Linked DNA regions of Diceros bicornis minor. The protein of the gene in region 2 purifies or fractionates together with the protein of the main gene of each other region. This does not show direct contact. Links are inferred from orthologs where the notes say so. Each region holds a gene or a part of one and is shown on either strand. Other genes may lie near its edges. The genes, in order: ARMCX3 and RANBP6.

Region 1 (10,887 bases), on a different chromosome or scaffold from region 2:
CAGGGAGCCCAGAGTGCCTTGCTGGTGAATATTCAGAAGTGAAGATAATGTCACAACTTTCTGGTCTTCCTCAAACTTTTATAGTCCTAATTCACTCACCAATATCATACCTCGTCTCTCTAAACCCCTACCTCATTTGTTTTGCAATCATCTCCTGAAACGGTTCTCTTTGTCACCATTTACTTCTCTTAGACAAGTGAATTCTTATTTATGAAGTCTTACTAACAGAACTGGCAGATTCAACTGTTCGTAATTCAGGTTTTGGCTACTAAGTACTTATATAAATGGCTTTTGTTTGTTTGTTTGTTTTTAATTATTTTTTTTTGTGAGGAAGATCAGCCCTGAGCTAACATCCATGCTAATCCTCCTCTTTTTGCTGAGGAAGACCAGCTCTGAGCTAACATCTATTGCCAGTCCTCCTCCTTTTTTTCCCCCCCAAAGCCCCAGTAGATAGTTGTATGTCATAGTTGCACATCCTTCTAGTTGCTGCACGTGGGACGCAGCCTCAGCATGGCCGGAGAAGTGGTGTGTCTGTACGTGTCTGGGATCCCAACCCAGGCGGCCAGTAGCGGAGCGCGCGCACTTAACTGCTAAGCCACAGGGCTGGCCCTGTTTGTTTTGAATATACACATTAGAAAGAACTAAGGAGTGTGTAAAGCTTAACAAAGCTTCTAGGACAAAAGCTCCACTCCTACCTCTCCTTACTAGTATGAAGTATCTCCCCCACTTTGGTATATTTTCTGAGTATTCCAATGTATAACCCCCGACCATCATTTTCCCAGTCTGTGAGACCTCTCCTGTCTGAATCCACTCCTTCTCTAAAACTTCCTAAACCCCATGGGAATGATAACTCTTTCAATTCTCTTACTTCTTTGTCATTTTGATCCACAATTTCTACCAAGGAACCTGGGGACTAGCATTTAAAGTGTACTTTGCTCTCCATTATACATCCACCAACAACTATTTATTTAAGGGCATGTTATTTGCTTGACATACTATTTCCAAAGTGAAAAAGGAAAATCCTTAAGCAATTCCTCAGACAAGCCTGTTAAAAGTTCCTGAGCCTGCAAAAAAATATGTGAAGCCACTGCCAAAAGGAACCTTTTGGTTTAAATCAGTCCGTGGTCACATGTGATGTGTGATTTATGAAGTACCCAAAACCCAAAAAGAGTCAGCAGATAGCAACACTAATGGAATTGTAGAGGGTGAGAAAAATAAATTATAAAAGATTTTTATCTTAAAAAGCTGTATTACCTTTTGTATTGTGTTATTTGCTTTTGTATTGCGTATTCGTTAATTTTGTTTGGTTGCAAGCAACAGAAACTAAACCCCGTGAACATAAACAATGAGGAAATGTTGAACACCAGGGTCAGCTCTGAGGGGTCTAGGTGGGAGGAATTGATAGTTGGCTTCTTCACGATGCCATAATTCCACTGATTTTCAGTTTTTTCTCTCTGTTCAAGATTTAAATTTTAGTAAGAGAGTATTGAGTTGGTCTGCTTTGGGCACAATGCCCACTCTTTCGCTGAGGAAAAGGACAAATATGTAAAGTGCACTTCTTTTCTTTTTCCAGAGAGAAATGTAAACTGCTTCAGATGTTGTTGTTGATTTGCAGGAGCCCTTTAACTACTTTGGATATTAATCCATTGTCCAGCTGTGACTGAGGTGCTGAGGCCTATTTGCCACAGCTTGTCTTAGTTGTAATTTTCACATTAACTGAACATTAGAGAGGTACAGTTCTGAAATGGTGATGCATGAGGTTGTCTTCTAAGCCAAAGCTACCTGGCTTCCCTGACAGGATTCCACAAGGTTGCATCTACAGTTCAGGGTCTTGTCCTCACTGTTGCGTGATCAACCCCTGATTTTGTCTGTACACTGGGAGCAGATGCCTCTGTCAAGGAAAAGGACCCCCATTCATAGAGACATATATAAATCTAGATCTGAATGCCCAAACCCACGGATCTCTGGATTCTCTCCCTGTAAGTAGGCCACAGGGGAAGCTAAGTCTCAACAGGAGTGACAACTGACTAATTTACCCTGAGAAATACAACTGTCAGGGGTACTGGAGGTTTCTGTCAGTTTTACCAGTTTTACTGGTAGGCAAGCTACTACAGTCATATATAGCTTAATGACAGGGTACGTTCTGAGAAATGCGTCATTAGGTGATTTTGTTGTTGTGTGAACATCATAGCGTGTACTTACACAAACCCAGATGGTATAGCCTACTACACACTTAGGCTATATGGTACTAATCTTATGGGACCAGTATCGTATATTTGGTCCGTCATTGAAATGTCAGTTATGCAGCACATGACTGTACTTAAGAAACCACAACCTCAGAAGGCTGCTTGGCAATGGCATTGGTTCACCTTAAGAAGTGGCTTTCAGCTAAGGAAGCTTGAAGTCCTCTTACACATCATGAGGATGGCTCTGCCAAAGAAAGCTAAATGTTCCATTCATCTTAGCCAAGACTCTCTCTCCTCCAGACAGTGCTTGGGTGGGAACTACCAACACTTTCCTCTGGCTCTCCTTTTCATATATTCCTGTGCTTGAATAAGCCCCTTTGCTGCACATGACCTTCCTCTAAACAGAATCATATAGTTGATGTGGTTTCTGTTTACTAAATTTCAGTCATATCCTAGTACTGCCTCCCAGTAGTTATATCGATATGAATTTCCCTGGAGTTTTGCCTGTTCCCAAACTTCCCAGTCTCTTGATTTACTCCCATATTGTCTGTGGATTATAAAAGTTATACTCAGATAATAACCTTATATCCAAACTATTAGGGACTATCCCACTGTAGACTCCATGTTCTGACATTACTTTTCCCACTATAAAAAGTTCAGTCATTACTGACAGGTGAATCACTGAGTTCATCAAACTAGCCGGTGAAATGGTTTCACTAATTCATGCTAATTGCTAGATGCCGAGGAGTTCAATTTTGTCTTGGTCTGTGTTCCTCTAACACCTGTTCCATTTGAAGATGCTATTCTCTATTTGCACCAAGTATATTTTGTAATGTTCTTTGTATGCCACTCACTTTGTCAGTGTGCATGGCTTTTTGTCTGGCAGATATCCACTACACAGTTGTAATTTCTACTTAATCTTTTCTGTGTTACTGGCTTCTGAGGGCTCCATGCCTCTTCCTTGCTAACTTGTGCAAGCGAAAGTCTGGAGCTCTCCTGTTCAGAAGACTGGCCTAGTCAGAAGATTATGCATTCGCAGACACACTGATTAGCTCATTCAGAGTTGTGTTATGCACTAGGCCCCAGAAGACATTAAGATTGCTTTGAGTCAAGTGTGTAACATTTGCGGCAAGTGAGAAAATGCGGGACTTTTGGAGGCCTTCATCCAACATCACTCTCCAACTCCCACTCTTTTTTTCTCAAATGAAAATAGCTTTGTAGTAATTTTTTTTTCTCATAAAAAGAATGCAGGCCAGGAGCAGGAGAGGGCAGAACAAAAAGAACAAAAAAGTATCAAGAAAGTAAAAACCACACTCTCCAGATCTCCTTTTCTGATAGCTTTTCCGTTTCAAATCTGGGACTAGCTTTCAGAGGAAATGGTAGACATTAATAGCTGGGACGAGGGGAGGTGGAAGGAGAGGTTACTGTCCCAGGAGCCTAGGGAAGGAAGAGGCAATTTTTCAAAAAGCACAAGTGGCCAGTAGCCCCAGGGGAAGATGCTGTCCCTTTGTGGTAATCAGAGGAAGGCAAACACAACTACAGGGAGCCGGGATTAGCAAAGAAGAAAGAGTAACAAGGCCTGGTTGGGGGAGGGAATGGAGGAGGGCGGGCGCTCTTCTGCCGCACTGCTGGTAGGAGGGGAAATTGGGGACCCGAGTTGGTGGATGACGTAGATCTCACGTGACCAAGAGCTGACGTGTGCAGAAGTCCTTCTTGTTCTGGTCGTTGTTCCCGTCTGAGTACCAGCTCCCCATTGCCCTAAGGGCGAGCAGGCCTGCTGCAGAAGGAAGAAGGAGGAGGAGAAGGAAATTGTCCCGGATCCCTGCAGGTCAGTGCCTGGGAGAGTTCATAAGGTGGGGGTACCGAGGGCATAGGGCGGAGACCGTCGCGGGTCCTGAGGCGCCTCCGTCGTCTCTCCCTCTCACCGCCGGCTTTCCAAGACATCTGTCCCGCCCGCAGCCGATTTCAATACTGCGAAATGGTGAGCAGGGGGGTGTTTGCGGAGAAGCCCAGAGATTCAGAGGTGGGAATACGCTGAGAGCCGAAGCCGTAATCCGGAAAGGGAGCTGTGGCCTGGGTGTTGGCCCCCAGTCCTCCAGGACAGTCCCGGCGGGGAAAGGCTGGACTTGGGGCGGGGGGGGGGGGGCTGTAACGTGGTGTGTCAGCATAACTCCAAGAGGGGTAATAGTGGGAAACCTTTGACAACCAGGCCTCCGAATTAGGAGTCTCATGTTCTGGGGACTGGTCCGTCCACCAAGCACTCGGTAGCGGCTGTTTCTTGTCTTTCTGACTGTGGTCTGTGTCTTCCTGACCATAGCTCTGTGTCTAGTGGGTCCGAGCCTCTCCCGGGTTGCCAGTCTTTCCGTAGGTTGCGGCATTACGCCAGGCAACAGAAGAGGAAAGAAATTAACCCCAATCGGTGAAGGTCGATTTGAGGGTAAGACCATCTGGGGACCCTAAGAGGGGCGGTGGTGGGGGTGGGGAGAAACCAGAGATAGCAATAATCTAGGTTAGGTCTGAGTCTGTGTTTCTTGCACTCTCGGGACTGTGGTGAAATGGCGTGCGTTGTGTGTGAATGTGTGTGTGTGTGTGTGTGTGTGTGTGTCGCAGGGGGGTGGGGGTGGGGGAGAATGACAGAAAGGAAACCTATCAGATAGTTTGTTCGTAATCCTCCTCTATCAACAGCACTTAGTCCCTATGTTTTCGATCTGTCATCCTGCAGGTCTGCTGTAGCAGGTGGCACCACTTGAAGCGAGGGAGGAAGTTTCCTCGGATCAGTAGAGGTCGGTGTGGGCGTGGGGGCTGCCTGGAATGGGGGAGGGGTTGGAAATCGGCCGTGGTTGGACAGGCTCACCCAGTCCTACCGTATTTCCCTAACATCCCTCCCTGAATTCGGGTTAAGGAAGGGGCAGACATGTGCATGTTTTGGATGGCATAGAGAGGTTAAAAAAATCCGACAACCTAGATGGTGAATCAGGAAAACTACTAATGAAGAGTCAATCCATCAAGCCCTCAATTCTCACTGACTCTGGTCTCTCTGCAGATCGCAAGGGTTGTTGGGCGTGGCACACCTCCAGGGGAGGGAAGAAGGGGCAGACTGCCTGTTTGGAAGAGGTTAGTGCAAGGATGCCACTCCCTGGGGACACCCGAGATTGGGGTGGCTGAAGCCCCAGCAGAGACTATGGGCTCCATTGCCTTTATCTAGGCTGGGGAGGGGGTGGGCTGAGAGAGTTTGTTAACAATCTACACTTCCTTTCAAGTACTCATTTACTACTCTCCTGGCCCTCTGTGCAACTCCCTGCATGGGGCAACACAAAGAGAAGAGAAACTCAAACCCATTTCCTTCCTCTACCCCTAGGTCCACCTCCAGTATCAGCTATTGTGGCCTTGAAGTGGCTGAAGACAATCACTCTCCACAGGCCTGCACCCAGGCCCATAGCCCTCCTTCCCCAGCCTGAGTGACTACTCTATTCCTTGGTCCCTGCTATTGTCAGGGACGATTGCATGGGCTACGCCAGGAAAGTAGGCTGGGTGACTGCGGGACTGGTGATTGGGGCTGGTGCCTGCTATTGCATTTATAGACTGACCCGGGGAAGAAAACAGAACAAGGAGAAAATGGCTGAGGGTGGGTCTGGGGATGTGGATGATGTTGGAGACTGCCCTGGGGCCAGGTACAATGACTGGTCTGACGATGATGATGACAACAGTGAGAACAAGGGTATAGTATGGTACCCACCTTGGGCCCGGATTGGGACTGAGGCAGGGACCAGAGCTAGGGCCAGGGCAAGGGCCAGGGCTACTCGGGCTCGTCGGGCTGTCCAGAAACGGGCTTCTCCCAATTCAGATGATACTATTTTGTCCCCTCAAGAGCTGCAGAAAGTTCTTTGCTTGGTTGAGATGTCTGAAAAGCCTTATATTCTTGAAGCAGCTTTAATTGCTCTGGGTAACAATGCTGCTTATGCATTTAACAGAGATATCATTCGTGATCTGGGTGGTCTCCCAATTGTTGCAAAGATTCTCAATACTCGAGATCCCATAGTTAAGGAAAAGGCTTTAATTGTCCTAAATAACTTGAGCGTGAATGCTGAAAATCAGCGCAGGCTTAAGATATACATGAATCAAGTGTGTGATGACACAATCACTTCTCGCTTGAACTCATCTGTGCAGCTGGCTGGACTAAGATTGCTTACGAATATGACTGTTACTAATGAGTATCAGCACATGCTTGCCAATTCCATTTCAGACTTTTTTCGTTTATTTTCAGCGGGAAACGAAGAAACCAAATTTCAGGTTTTGAAGCTCCTTTTGAATTTGGCTGAAAATCCAGCCATGAGTAGAGAACTGCTCAGGGCCCAAGTACCATCTTCACTGGGTTCCCTCTTTAATAAGAAGGAGAACAAAGAGGTCATTATTAAACTTCTGGTCATATTTGAGAACATAAATGACAATTTTAAATGGCAAGAAAACGAACCTACTCAGAATCAGTTCAGCGAAGGTTCACTTTTTTTCTTCCTAAAAGAATTTCAAGTGTGTGCTGATAAGATTCTGGGGATAGAAAGTCACCATGATTTTCTGGTGAAAGTAAAAGTTGGAAAATTCATGGCAAAACTGGCTGAGCATATGTTCCCAAAGAGCCAGGAATAACTTCTTGATTTTGTAGTTTAGAAGCAACACACATTGTAAACTGTTCCTTTTCTCCACCTTGTTTATACGGTAAAGGAATCCTTTCAGCTGCCAATTTTGAGTAATGAATATCATATTGTTTCATCAATGCTGATATTTACCCGAGTTGGTCTTCAGGTCTAAGCTGGATGAATGAATATCACTACCTGTTCTGAAAACATGTTTGTTGCTTTTTATCTCGCTGCCTAGATTGAAATATTTTTACTATTTCTCCTGCATAAGTGACAGTGAACCAATTCGTCATGAGTAAGCTCCCTCCTGTCATTTGCATTGACTTCATTTGTGTATCATCAATAAAGTTGTGTGTTAATGCTGGAAAGAAAGAAAGAAAGAAGCAAGAAAGAAACCATCCTTGTCCTTCGGTTTATAATCTAGTTGGAGAGATAAGAAACATATAAACAAAAAGATAACTGAGAATATCTGGAGCATGTACTCATTGTCAAATGTGCACTATCGGAGCACAGAGGAAGCAAAGGCTTCTGTGGGATACAGCAGTCAGCTACAGATTCATGGAGAAAGCGGCTATCTAAAATGAGTCCTGAACCGGGGAGGTAGTTAGGGCATTCCCTGAGATGAGAGTAAGGGAGGACTGGTGTGAGAAAGGCATGCAGGTAGGAACTCTCTTCCTATGACAGTGAGAAGACTAGTATGCTTAGAGTGGAGAGTGTGGGAAAGGGAAGTAAATAAATTTGGAAAGCTGGGAGAAGCCAGCTTGTGGAGAGCTGTTTGAATATTATCCCACTGAACACCGAGAGCCACTGAATATTTTTGACTAGAAAAACAGTTGGAATTCATATAAAAGTCCCTCTCTCACCTATGTGCAGTGTCCACGAGGGTGTGGCAAAATGGACCCTTTCAAACCCTGGTGGTATGAATAAGTTTACACTGGCACAAGGTTTGTGGAGGGCCATTTGGTAATGCATATCATAAGCCTTAAAATATGTAAACCCTTTGTCCTAAGGGAATAATTGAATAATTGGCCAAAGACTGAATGTACAAGGCTGTTCATGCCAGCACAGTCTAAAATAGTAAAAATTGGAAACAAGTGTCTAGCACACTGGATTGGTTAAATAAATTAATGTTCACATGGTATATGATAAATATGTTGATTCAAATCCATATTGCCAGGAAAAGATATTCATCATGCATTGTTAAGTGAGAAAAGTAGATTAGATAGCAGTATTCATAGTATGATTCCTTTTTTTTTGGAGAACAATAAAACATATGTTTAAGTAGACACTAAAAACTTTGGAATTACAGACACCCAAATAGTAATAGTGATTATCTTTGAGTGGAAGGTTAATGAGTGATCTTTACCTTTTTACTTTTTATTCATTTATGTGTTCTTATTTATCTAAAATGAATATTGATTTTTCAGAAATTTTTGAAAAAGGAAAGTGTTGGGAACGAAGCAGGTGATTGGAGCATGTACTGAGTGGAAAAAATATTTAGATTAAAAATGAGACGGGTTGAAGTTTCTTCTTTGAAATGATAGATGAGTGGTGAAGATAGGGCTCGTTGTGAGAATTAAATGAAGTAATACATGCAAAATACTTAGTATGTTCTGGCACATAGCAGTTAATTAAGAAAAGTGAGCACCCTTAATTTCCTAGAATGCAGGGTTGATAGTTTTTTTGATTGACTTTTGTTTTGCTGGGGGCATTCTGCCATGTGTCAGTGTCTTTTAATAAATAATAACAATAAAGGCTAGCATTTATTAAGTGACTACTTTGTAGAGTTCTGTCATTCCTGCAAGGCAACTGTTAAAATAATTTCTCAAAGGAATAGGGTTTTCTTATTTCTAAGGATTCAAAGTGTTTCCTCAGACATGATATCACCAGCTCCTACAACATATTCCTTGTCGGTTTGGGGATGTTATCCTTCTTTATATACGAGGCCAGGAAAGGGTAAAACCCTCTGTTCAGTTATGATCTGGTTTTAGCCCCAGGCTTCCATAAACTTACTCTAATGTTGTCTATAGTGGACAAAAGGACCGGGGACTGATTGGCTTAAAGTTGTTGGGTATGGTGACCCTATTGAATCATGCACATGTGAAGACTCATTTGACACCAGTTTTAAAGACAGGGTGAGGGAACAGGGAACTAATATTTTTCTTGCTCTATTATTAGGTAGGAGAAAAAGATTTGGGAGGAGAAGTCTAACCCATTTAAAATAAACTGAGTTTGGGGTACCTGTGTGACATCCATATGGAGACACCCTATTGTCATTTGAATGTTTTGATCTGGCTCTCGGAGGAGAAGACTAGGCTGCAAATAAAGATTTAGGAGCCAGCAGAGGATGAATGATACCTGAGAACATGGGAGTGGATGTGATTCCCAGAGAGAAGGCACAGAGTGTAAGAGTGGAGGGCTGCAAAAAGAACTGTGTGAGGGACTGGCAGCTGGAGAGAGAAGCACAGAATTGAAACTGAGTGTTTACCCTTAAAGACACTTTCACTACCCATATACCTATTTATTATATACACAAAATTGGATGACACTGTAGATAAACTTTCAGAGCTTCATTTAAAATTTTTCTACTTTCTCCTAAAAAAACACTCATTGAAGATAGTAACGAAAATAGAGACAATGAGAAAAAACTTGTCCCCTGACCCAGCTATGTAACTTGAACATCTAAAAAAATATTCAGATGAAGCCATGTTGAACTTGGGGAGCTGAGGGACTTTTATGCCTGGGGTGAAAATGAGGTTCATGTTGAGTAATAAAAAGCCACCACACGGCAGGGGCACAGGCCTGACCAGCGTCCATCTGCTCTTGCAGGTCTCTTTTCTCCTTCCTTCCCATTCTTCTTCCCTCTCCCTCCCTCGCACTGTTATCTTTAGTTCCTCCTCCTGGGGGATCATTGGCACTAGTCTCTTTGTGCTTCTGTGTCTTTTGGGGTGACCATTCAATTCCCATGACACCAGGTCGTGCACCAGTGGGCATTTAATACAGAATAATAATTGCTGTTGCTGTGGTAATACGGTGACCCTGGGTGTGACTGGATGCCAAGATCTTTTGGAACCCTTGTTGAACAGAGACTGCGATGAAACTAGTCTTAGCGTGGCACAGCCCTATGTGCACTGCATGTACTTTCGATGTCCCTTACCTGGTATCATTTAGAATTGAATCACCCGGACTTTGGGAAGTGCTGTGTGAGACAAATGTGTGACCGCCTGGTCCAGGCAAGGCACATGCTGATGTCCCGATGTTTTCACATCGGAGGTTGCCACTCTCAATCACTTTGGGAAGGGCACAGTTCTCGGATTGTGGCTGTGATTGTGGCAGCTCTTGGGGGCAGGGAGGAGGCAGTGTCCTCGCTTTAGAGAGGATGGCAGCTCCTGGGAAACCGAGGAAATTAGGAACTCAGAGCTTATCTTGCTATTTTGGGTTTGTTCTCATCTAATGGTTTTGGGAGTATAAGTGGTCTATCCCAGACAAATGTGTTCAAAAGAGACTTTACAAACACGGAGTATAGTTCTCTTATAAATTGTCACCCAAAGCACAATATTTCAAGGCTCAGGAAACTGTTTTTTTTTTTTAATTCATATTTTACTTGCCTTGTTTCAAAAGAGATTCTAAGTGTAGGTTTAGCAGATTGATGTGGTTCAGGGAAAGTTTGTGTTTATGCCTGTGTTTGGTTAATTTCTCTGCTAAGTTCCCTTGAGAATGGCTTTTCTAAGAACGATTATGACTATTTTCAATGCTATCTTTTTACGTTCATTTTACATCACATCCCAGGCTGAAGGTTTTTTCTGGGGTCTCTGTTTAAACTGTGGCTCTTCCTTGCCTTTAAACCAGAACTATCTTGCTGCCCTCCTAGGGTGCAGAAAACTAGGATAATGGCCCCTGGTTTGCCCTGCCCTGGGGTGTGGTGTAAAGCAGGGTAATGAATATTTACTTTCAGAGTGGTAGACCTGCACACTTGACTCTCTCCATTGTGTTCCTCTCACACCTTGTGTGAAGAGTCTGAGGATAGACCTGGGAGGAGGGAGAAGGAAGGGCTTGGGAAAGAAGCC
Region 2 (10,887 bases):
TCATTAATGTGTATCTTTAAAGCACTGATAAAATTCAAAACTTCAAAGATTTTTTTTTCGGTCCAGTAAGTTAAATAGCAGCCTTAGGTAAAATAGTTAAGTGGACTATGGAGTGGACTCAAACACTTTTGAGTTTTAGGGTATTGACCCTCCCCTAGTCCACACACACATCCATTGTCTAGTTTTCAAGGTCTCGGTTCATCTTATCAGACGTTAGTAATTTATTAGGCATTTACAGCGTTCTCTCTCTCCTCGGAGCCCATAGATGTAACTCAGCTCACAGGAACAAAGGCGGGGACCAGCTCTACTTTAGCAATTGACAACCAAAAATGTGTCTGACTAGACATCCCTCATTGCCTTTGACAAAGCCCAAGAATCTGGACCCACCCTACCCCAGCAAATATCCCCTTTTTTTAGCCACTAACCCCATTTCATGACTCTCAGATAATATTAACTTACATTTATTGAACCCCGTGTCACTAAGCATTTTATATTCATTATCTCCTATGAGCTAGGTATTATGACCATTTTACAGATGGAGAAACTGATGCTTAGGTTAAAAAAGTAGTTTGCCAAAATTCAATTTTAGGTCTGTCATACTTCAAAATTCTCTAGGTGCCTAATTCTAAGTCATCTGGCAGAATTACCAATTCCTCATGTACAAGAGTGTAGGGAATTGCTAGAAATGTTGATTAAGGGCTTCTTAATTAAGATAAAGAGGAGCGGTAAGTGAAGGAACCTCTGCTATAGGTCATGGAGAGGCCAAGATGTAAGCTATTATGTAAGTAGGATCAGGTCCTGGAACTTAAAAACAAAGAAATATATTTCTATTCTACTCTATTTCTATAATATTTTATTATACAAGAAATATGTTGGTTGTAGGTAAATTAGAAAATACAGATAAATGAGAAGAAAAATTGCCATTTAATCCCACCACCCAGAGAAAACCTCTATTAATACTTTGTGGGGGGATTTTTCTATTTATTCATCTATACTTTTTTATCTTAAATAAACTTAAAATTGTGACCATACTGTACTTAATGTCCTTTCCTTCCCCCCCCCATTAACAATAAATAATTGTAGGGAATGGACAGGAATTGCATACCTAAAATCTCAACTTCATATCTCTGTGCACAATGGCCTAGATGGCCTGCTCATCTGAACTGGTAGAGGGTGAATCAGGGAAATTCTAATGTAAGAGGAATTCTAAACCATAAAAAAGAACACAGTAGAGGTACAAACAACAGCAATAACAGCTACAATTTATTAAGCACTTACTAGGTCTTAAATATTTGCTAAATACTTTACATACACAGTACTCACAATAGCCACAGGAAATGACAGATGTATTTGTTCTTAAATTTTGGATCAATGATTTGCTGAGTAGAATGCTTTTATCCTACCCTACCAAAAGCTCAACATTAAAGACCAACATTCTAATTCATATAATTAACCCTAGATTTATGGGACTGTTTTCTTATAATGCACATCTACTGCTAAACAACTGGTCTCAAAACTGTTTTCTTTTTTATGTTTAAAGATAAAATTAATTTTGCTTCCCCTTCATTTTCACAATAGAATACTCCTCAGTGCTATTATAGAATCTATTAAGAACTTTTTCAAAATAGAAATCTATTTAGGCCCCATTTTGAATCAGGGCTTCTTTTCTCATTGAACTGCTTTGCAGGGGGAAAATGGCATACATACACAATGTAATATTCTGCTCAAACACATAACACTGATTGACTCCCACAAATATCAATTACTTACTATTTGTCAAATATTGTTACAGTATGTACATGCTACCAATGTTAGATGCACCAGGACACCCTTTTCAGTACACATGGTTCTTAGAGTCCTGGATAACTTAAAAAATAGAGACTGGTCTGGCTTAGAAGATTTTAAAGTTCTCATAACTCTCAGCTGGACACCTTGGGAACTAGAATATGGATATGCCTCACCTAGTTCCCACGAGGACATTATGAAAAAGTTCATATACATTATAGAGAAAACTCCCCACATCTACTGCAATATCTCAAAGCTCTTGGCCAATTTCAGCATCTTCCCATTTCCATCAAAACCAGGAGTATTAACAAGGACGAATAAGCCTGCCACTATATTCTTCACCCACTATTCCAAAGATGTTTGTCCTGGAAGTTCTCCTATCCTATCTTTGTGAGCTCTTAGCATCTTGTGATAGGCAGCATGACATCTTGACACCAAGCGTATTGCTTGTCCAGCATCAGTGATTCAGACAAACAGCAATGATTTATATACTTCACATCACATTAGAAAGGGGACAAACATTCTAAGACAACGGAAGCACAGGTTATCATCAAGGTCTGTGTATAAGAGATAAAACATGCAAGGTGAACAGAAGGCTGTAACACTGACTAATCCTGGAGAAACATGGGGAAGGAATATAAACTGCTTAGCAGGGAGAGAACAGTTCTCTCAATTATAATAGAATTCACTCACAACACTTATTTGGAGTTACTTTTATGGTAGATGATATTCAAGTGATATTAAAGTGTTTCAAGCAAAATTTAGCAACTCCTGTAAGGCTTCCTGCTGCTCATCACCAAGTTGGCATATGCATTCCAACCATAATTCTTCAGAAGTCTGTACCTGACGCACAACATTAGCTAGGCGTTTGGCACAAGGATCTTCACAGTTAATAGTCTCACTAATTTTTCCTTCTGCAATTATACTGATTATTTTGGGAAGATTGGAATTATTTGGACCAAGTACAACTGGATGGTTACTTTCAATTAAGTCACAGAGAAAACTCAAAGTCTGAATAGCTTCCTCTTTATCTTCATGCAGTGGAAGCCATGATAACCAGTGTGGAAGAACTTCATCTACATTTACACAGTTAGGCTTAAACCTCAAAATCTTCCCCACTGCTGAGATACAGTTCTCTGTAGCAATGACATTCTTTTTGGTTTTGGAATTTGCACACTTAATAACTTTTACCAGCAGTGGAACAGCTTCAGAACATAAAGAACGATAATCATCTCCACCAAACTGTGCCATAACACCCAGGCCATAAGCAGCAGCTTGCCTGACTTCAGGGTTGTTATCTCGCATATTTAGTAGCATTGGCCACCGAAAATATTCTACATATTTAAATGAGGTTGGACTGCAGTGCTCTATGATATCATCAAATATGCACAGTCCCCACTGTCTGTCTGGCCATGGCCTACTAGAACAAATTAGATTTACAATTAATGGAAGCAGCTGTTCAAACCATGGTAAAATCTTTTCCTTATAAGTACTAAATAATGAGTGCAAAATATCTGATACTTTGGTTAGAATATAAACATCACATTCATCCTCATCTTGCAGAGACATTTCAACCTGTTGGTCATAGTTTTCTTCCTGTCTTTTAACCTGTCTCAATTCTTGGTTTTTAAAGTGCCCTTCAAGTTTTGCTTTCAATATTTCTCCCAGTTCTTCCAAGTGTTCATCATTAAGGCATCCATCTCCCATTACTTCAATGGACTTTGCAAAAGAATTCATTATTTCTGAGAGTACATCTGTATCAGGTTCAGTCCCAATAGCCTTGATTAAGGGATCACATATGAATTGCCACATCTGTGCAAGATACTCTGGGCCACGAATTCTTGCACATTCCAGGAGAAAAGGCATGGACTCTGCTGCTGCCACTCGAACATTGTCATGGAAATAAAATTTCAGTAAAGGAACCATCAGCTTTACAACTTGTTCTGTATATTCCACAAATCCTTCCCTTAACTCCTTAGCATAGTAAACCAACATCTGGCAAGCAGTTGCTTTTGCTTCAAGTCCTGAAGTTTTAATTCCAAAACTTTGCTGGTCTCCAAGATTTACAAATTGCCATCCATCATCATCACTCATATTCTCCACGTCTTGTGTGTCTAAGAGAGCAACATCAGGTTTAGCTGAAGCAGTCTTAATGAGAGGCTCAATAACCAGGGAAAGGTACTGTTGAAAATCATTTCCAAGAATTTTACACATTCTGGCCCATGCTGAAACCATGTAAGTAGTCTGAGGGTCATCATCTTCCATATTATTTAAGTCTGATTGTGTCTTCAACAATAGTTGCATCACATTTGGTGCATCCTGCGTAAATTTTTCCTTCCCAACAGCAAGGCCAACATGGCTAATGCATTCAATAGTTTTTCCTTTCAGAAGCTTGAGTTCCTTTTGAATAGCAAGCTCAACGATGTGCTTTAGTGAGGGCATAAATATATCATAATATGGAACAAATTTTTCTTCTATTGTATCTGCGACTGAGGCAATGGTTGTCACAAGCTGTTCCAAGGCCAACTTAGTTCCATTTCGAATCAACTCTTGAAGTTTAATCACCAAGATGGAATGTAGATTTCTCACCATACTATCCAAATATAGAACTAGCAATGATTTGGGGCAGTCTTCAATAAAAATAATAAGTGCGGAAGCTGCATGTGATTGCACACGCTGATTACCTTGATTTTCCATGGTACGCAACAGAGCTGCAATCACTGTTTCATGGAATTTCTTTTGGAAGTTAGGTGCAAAATCTGTGGCCATCTGTCCAAGTGTAGTACAGGCTGCAGCCCTCACCCTAGGATGGGGATCCTGAAGAAAGAGCAAAACAGAGTTAACCGTTTCATCTAGAATTGATTCCATTTGCTGATGGCATCCTTCTCCAATGGCAGATAAGGCCGTTAATCCAGCATGTCGATATTTCCAGTCAGGGCTCTGAAGCATCTGCATGATATGCTCTTTAGTCATTGGTAAAACAAGTTTTCCACCGAGCCCACATGCGAGTCTGTCTAGTGCACTCTCAGCAGCAACTGCATTGCTGTCAAAATCATCTTCTTCCATTTCATCAGCATTTACCCAGTCCTCATCATCTTGCAGATCAACCATCATTGCTAATATATGAGGAACTGCCTGTGCAATAATATTTGTATGCTTTTTCAACATTGGGGTTGCAGTTTCAGACAAGGTCACTATTACTTCAAGGGCCAGCTGGCGTTGCAGATTGCTAAGTCTAGAGTCTCCACATAACTTTAGACTCAACTGCAGAGTATCTTCTAAATAAGGACCCAAGTATTTAGGTACGGTATCTGCAATCTCAACAAGGGATTCTAGTACTGAATCATCATCCTGGTAGCATGAATCATTCACAGCCTGTAAGATTCCAGGAAGCAAGTCTGCAAAGTCTTTGAAAAGAGCAATATTATTCTCATTAGCAAGTACAAATGCAGCCGCAGCTCTAGCGGATAATGTCCTGATTGCTGGATGTTCTTGATCTTGAATACACTGGTCCAACAACCGTTTGATGATATCCAAATCGTGCCGCTCTTGGTTCCCAAAAATCCCAGGAAAGTGCCAGAAAACATGAAGTGCAACTTCCCATAGAACCACATTTTTAGAGTAGATTGAATCAATAAGGAACTTCAGACCTTCGGGCCAGTGGTTAGTGCCATCCTCATCTATCAAATTCCTGGCCAGCACTGCAAAAATATCACAAAGTTTTTTCCTCATGCTAGCATGTTTTTCTAACTTAACAGCCAGGATCAGTTCAATCTTGACGTCCCTCTGAACATCAGAAGGCAGATTTGGATAGACTTCCTCAAACCCAGAGGACAAAAGCCGTCGTAGCAGTGCGGCAGCCATTTGTCTCACCTCATAACCCGCTCTTCTATTTCTGACAGCATCTAAGAGGAATGTAGTCTTACACAGACCTGGGATATTTTCATAGATTTCCTCTGCCTGCCTCCGCACCATACAGCTTGGATTGATCAGGTTCTTCAAAAGCTGGTAAAACTCTTGCTTTCCCGACACGGTCGCCGGTATCCCTGCAGACCCGGCCGCCGCCATCGCGCTCTGTCAAAGCAACCGCGACCGGGAAGGAGGGAGGGGGTCTGCGGCGGGAAGCAGTGACGCAAGCGAGGCGCCGGCGGGTGTGGGCGGGGCCGCTTCTCCCTCGGCTGCCTGGGCTCTTTGGATGCCCTCTGGGGCTGGGGAGCCGGGTGGCGGGGCGGATAGGTGAGAGCGGGCTGGAGGCGAGAGGCATCCTCCACCTGTTTTCCAACCAGACAAAAATGCACCTGCAGAAGGGAAAAAAAAGAAAATATGATATTGATTGTATTAGAATGGGATTATGGGTGATTGATTTTCTCCTTTCCTTTATTTCTAAACTCTATTGTTGTTATCTTGATGATTTTAAAACAATAAGTACATCTTGAAACTCTGCTAAGTGAAAGAAGCCGATCACAAAAGATCCCATATTGTATGATTCCATATATGTGAAAGGTTTTGAATAGGCAAATCTATACGGAAAGTAGATTAGTGGTTGCCAGAGGCTGGGGGGAGGGGAGAATGGAGAATAACTGCTGTCAGATAGGCGGTTTCTTTTTGGGTGATGAAAACGTTCTAAAATTGATTGTGGTGATTGTTGCACGATTCTGTGATTATGCTAAAGACCACTGAATTGTACAACTTAGATTGGCGAATTGTACGATATGTGAATAATACCTCAATAAAGCTGTTTATCAAATAAGTGCAATAAAAGATAAAAACAATGATTACCACCCCACTACAACACCTAATACAGTAGAGCAGTGGTGCTCAAACTCTGATGTGTGTCAGAATCACCTGGCCTAGGGATTATAATAAAGAAGGAGAAAGACAACTGAATAAAGTATGGTGGAAAGTGTACCTAGGCTAGTAATCAGAAGACTTGACTCTTAGTCTTATCTCTAAATTAATTTTGTATCCTTGGTCATATCACTCAAGGTTTTCCTTGCATGTTGTCTAAATTGTAAAGTTCTTTTACAGTTTTCCTTTTAGTAGGAAGATGCTGCGATTATTTCAAGAAACAAATACCCCTAAGGATAAATATTGTTTCTTTAATTCAGGCAATTGTGTCAATCAAAAGCAATAATCATTCCTCTAACAATGATTAGATCTTACTTTCCTGTTAGCACATTGCCACTCTGTCATTTTGACCATTATACAGGTTTGCAAGATTAGTAAGATAGGTATAATACTAATTTTAGGTGAGAAATGGAAACTCAGGGAGGTTAAGAGATTTGCCTAAGATGACACAGCTGAGTCTCAAATCCACCTCTTCTGAAAGCAACACCAATACTCTTTCACCATAGCACTTCTCCATAATTACTCTTGGTTTGGCAACATGATCAGAGTCCTTTACTTATTGCAGAGTCTGTCTTAAACTTCTCCAAGTGGGCTTAATTTTAATTTTGTAAAATGCTGCTGCATATACCCACAAAGATAGAAAATCCCAGTTTTCCCATTAACGAGATAATACACTAAGTAGTCTCATAAATTACATTGTAATATGTGATACTATGCTCATTTAGGAAGAAACCTTATTCTTTTAAACACTTTCTGTGGACTGAAAACCAACTGCATCAGAATCACTTGAGATGCTTATTATTTTTTATATAATTTTTTATTGATGTCATAATAGTTTATAACATTGTGAGATTCCAGTTGTACATTATTATTTGTCAGTCACCGTATAAATGCGCCCCTTCACCCCTTGTGCCCACCCCCAATCCCTTCCACCTGGTAACCACCAAACTGTTCTCTCTGTCAGTGTGTAAGTTTATATTCCACATATGAGTGAAGTCATACGGTGTTTGTCTTTCTCTGTCTGGCTTATTTCACTGAACATAATACCCTCCAGGTCCATCCATGTTGTTGCAAATGGGACAATTTTGTCTTTTTTTATGGCTGAGTAGCATTCCATTGTATATATACCACGTCTTCTTTATCCATTCGTCTGTCGATGGACCCTTGAGTTGCTACCACTTCTTGTCTATAGTGAATAATGCTGCAATGAACATAGGAGTGCATAAGCCTCTTTGGATTGCTGGTTTCAAGTTCTTTGGATAAAGAAGTGGCATAGCTGAATCATAAGGTATTTCTATTTTTAATTTTTTGAGGAATTTGAGATACTTATTTTTAAATACAGGTGTTAGGACCCAAGTTCTTAACTACTGAATCAGAATTTCTGGGGAATGCAACCCAAGGAAGTTCAGTTTTAACAAGCACACTGGGTTTTCATATAAATACCAAAGTTTGAGAACCACTGATGAGATCAATTCTGGTTCTGATTCCAAGATCTTGACTATAAGTTTGCATCTTGCTCCAGAATCACTGTTTTTTTAACTGTTCCTTGAAATAGTCTAACTGCAGAGCCTTTGCATTTGCTGTTTCAGGAAAAGTTAATAAGTATGTGAGAGGAGAAAGGCTTTTCTTAACACTATATCTATTGGCATATTAAAGACTTATCAAAAACTACGAGATACCACCACAGACCCACCACAATGTTTTAAATTTAAAAGTCTGTCAATATCAAGGGTTGGTGAGGATGTGGAACATGGAATCAATTATATTTTTGATGGTAGTATAAGTAAATTGGTACAACTACTTTGAAAAAATGTTTGGAAAATGCTGGGTTAAGATTATGCAATTATTCATTTATTCTGTCAGCAAACATTCATCGAGGGTATACTCAAGCATGGCACTGGATGCTAGAGGTAAAGATTAAATACATAAAGATGCTCATGAGAGCCAGTAAATGTCACATAGTGTAGTGATCACTGTGGTGATGGTAAGTCTGCCATGGAACCACATGGGGTTGTGGAGGCAGCCAATCTAATCTGGGTTTGCGGGAAATCAGGTAAGGCTTCCCAGAGGAGGTGATATCAGGGCTGACTTTTGAAGGATGAATCTTCATTAATTATTTAAAGAAAGAGAAGAAGGTTGTTCTAAGTAGAGGGAACAGCTTTGTTCATATGCAGAGAGGTGTTAGAGCCTAGTGTGGTAAGAGTTCTGCCAGTATTTCAGAATTGCTGGAGCATTGGGTATGGGACTTGAGGGTGCCTGGGATGATACAGGAGGCAGGAAGGAGGAAGACAGAAAGTTAAATAGAGGCCAGATCATGAAGGTCTGATACTCCATGTTAAGAAATTTCGATTTTTTTCCTAAAGGTAGTGATGAGCTGTTTAAGGATTTAAGGGCTGTCAGAAATAGTCAATTTTTAGAAATATTGCTTTGATAATAGTGTGAAGACTGGGGGCATTTAGGAGGCCAATAACCTAGTTCAGTTAAGCTGAAAGTCTAAACTTTATAGCAGTAGTGGAGGGAAAGAAAAGAGGGCAAGAATTAGAGAGGTTTTACGAGGTTGTATCAATAGCACTTAGAGGGGAAGGAGAAGCTTGGGAAATCTCCCCGAGTTTTGGCCTGGGCATCTGGCTGGAGGTACTGCAATTTACCTATTTATTTACCTACATATGAATAAATAACAATGTTAATGCAGACCAAAAGACAACTAATTCTTTCTGAAGGAAAAAGAGGCTTCCCTAAGAAGGTAAGTCAGTCCCAGAATCCATGTTTTGTTCTCTATATGCTATAGTGACAGTCATTGTTTTAACAGTAGAAGCTAAACTGAATCCATTTTAGGAAAATTATTTATGATCTTTTATTTTAGAAAAACATACACTGATTTAAAATCTTAAGGTACTTCCTCTCTAGATTACGTAATTCTGTTCTATTTACTTTTTGCATTGTTATTTCCTTTCTGGTTTTCCCCTAAGGAGCGCATATAATACCCAAGATTTCAAGACTGGACTTGCAGACTTGGTTAGGATTGAACAACTTTATTAAATTTTGTAATTAAAATTGGCTTTTAAAATTGTTTGCACTGTTGAGAGGCTGTTTAAGAATGTTTCCATAAGGTGGCTCAATACAGAAAATTCAAGTGTTTATTAGCAGCTTGCTAAGTGGGGAAAGTGCAAAATAAGTTGCAACTTTCTTCCAAGATCTGAGAGATTTAGAGTCAAATGAGGGGGATATAATTACATTGTACATACTTGACATTTTTACAAGAATAATCCAGAATAAATAAAAACACAGAAAACAAAAAATATCATGAAGGCTCCCGCTGGCCTAAGATGGGACAATCTGAATATCAAAAAGAATAATGCCCACAATGGATTAAAAAACATCAAATTTATAAACAAAACGGATGAGTTTCTATAATTAACAAAAGCCACAAACTCGTTAATTACCTTTGGAGGTTGCTAGGTCACTAACTCTGAAAATTGATAGATAAGATTTTTCCTGTCTTTGCTGTACAAACTGTATTTCAGGATAACCAAATAGTTGATGAGGGTACATTCTTCTTTATAGAATTTCAGCTAATAAGTGCACAAAAAATGCTAAAATCAGAAAATTGCTGTGTTGTAATCCCCAATGAAATAATGAATCTAGGTAACAATAACCAATGGATGCTAAAACCATTAAATGAAACATTGATTGGGCATTTAATAATAGAGGAATTTGGCTGAAACCACCTGAAATTACGGATTAATCTTAATATTATTAAAAGGGGGATAAACCAGAGGTGTCATTTACCTGTTCTCTTTCAGCTCCACATCCGTACTTCCTATAATTGGTTCTCTGATGCTGAGGTTAGGCTCTGGAAACAAATTTCTCTTTTCACACCTGGGTTGCTGGTAGGTTTTACCAATAGGAGCCACTAGAGATTGGAAGATAGAAAAGGGACGGAAAAGGGATTAATCCTTCCTGTTCTTCTTTTTCTTGTCTGGATTGCCCCAGCAGTGACCCCTCCTCTTGGTGGCAGCAGTTTCCTTCCTTTTGCAACACTCAAAATACCTGATCTCTCATCTCTGCAGAGATGCCAGCAGTAGCCTGGGGGCACCCCTTCCTCAGAGGTTTCACCCACAGCTCTGGGAGGTCCCTCCTTTGAGCCTAAAGATACCAGTTCCATTTTGTTCCCTCAGCTTCCCTCAGGGATGGTAACAGTTCCTTCAGTTATCATCTTTGGATTACCTCAGTGCTATTTATTTACTCTTTCAG

What was found.
Region 1: the proteins of RANBP6 (region 2) and ARMCX3 purify together in Homo sapiens (co-immunoprecipitation; 3 studies listed by BioGRID and IntAct, counting the BioPlex papers as one, with this or other methods). This does not show direct contact. The link is inferred for Diceros bicornis minor from reciprocal best matches to the Homo sapiens genes RANBP6 and ARMCX3.

The regions. Positions count from the first base shown.
Region 1 is NC_080781.1:94,686,552-94,697,438, forward strand, and holds ARMCX3 (armadillo repeat-containing X-linked protein 3), read left to right. Parts: upstream 1-3,883; 5' UTR 3,884-4,014; intron 4,015-4,035; exon of another isoform or gene 4,036-4,167; intron 4,168-4,503; exon of another isoform or gene 4,504-4,543; 5' UTR 4,544-4,623; intron 4,624-4,908; 5' UTR 4,909-4,969; intron 4,970-5,229; 5' UTR 5,230-5,300; intron 5,301-5,544; 5' UTR 5,545-5,690; coding exon 5,691-6,830; 3' UTR 6,831-8,597; downstream 8,598-10,887. UniProt on the Homo sapiens protein: Regulates mitochondrial aggregation and transport in axons in living neurons. May link mitochondria to the TRAK2-kinesin motor complex via its interaction with Miro and TRAK2.
Region 2 is NC_080761.1:29,933,163-29,944,049, forward strand, and holds RANBP6 (ran-binding protein 6), read right to left. Parts: upstream 5,863-10,887; 5' UTR 5,854-5,862; coding exon 2,536-5,853; 3' UTR 1,247-2,535; downstream 1-1,246. UniProt on the Homo sapiens protein: May function in nuclear protein import as nuclear transport receptor.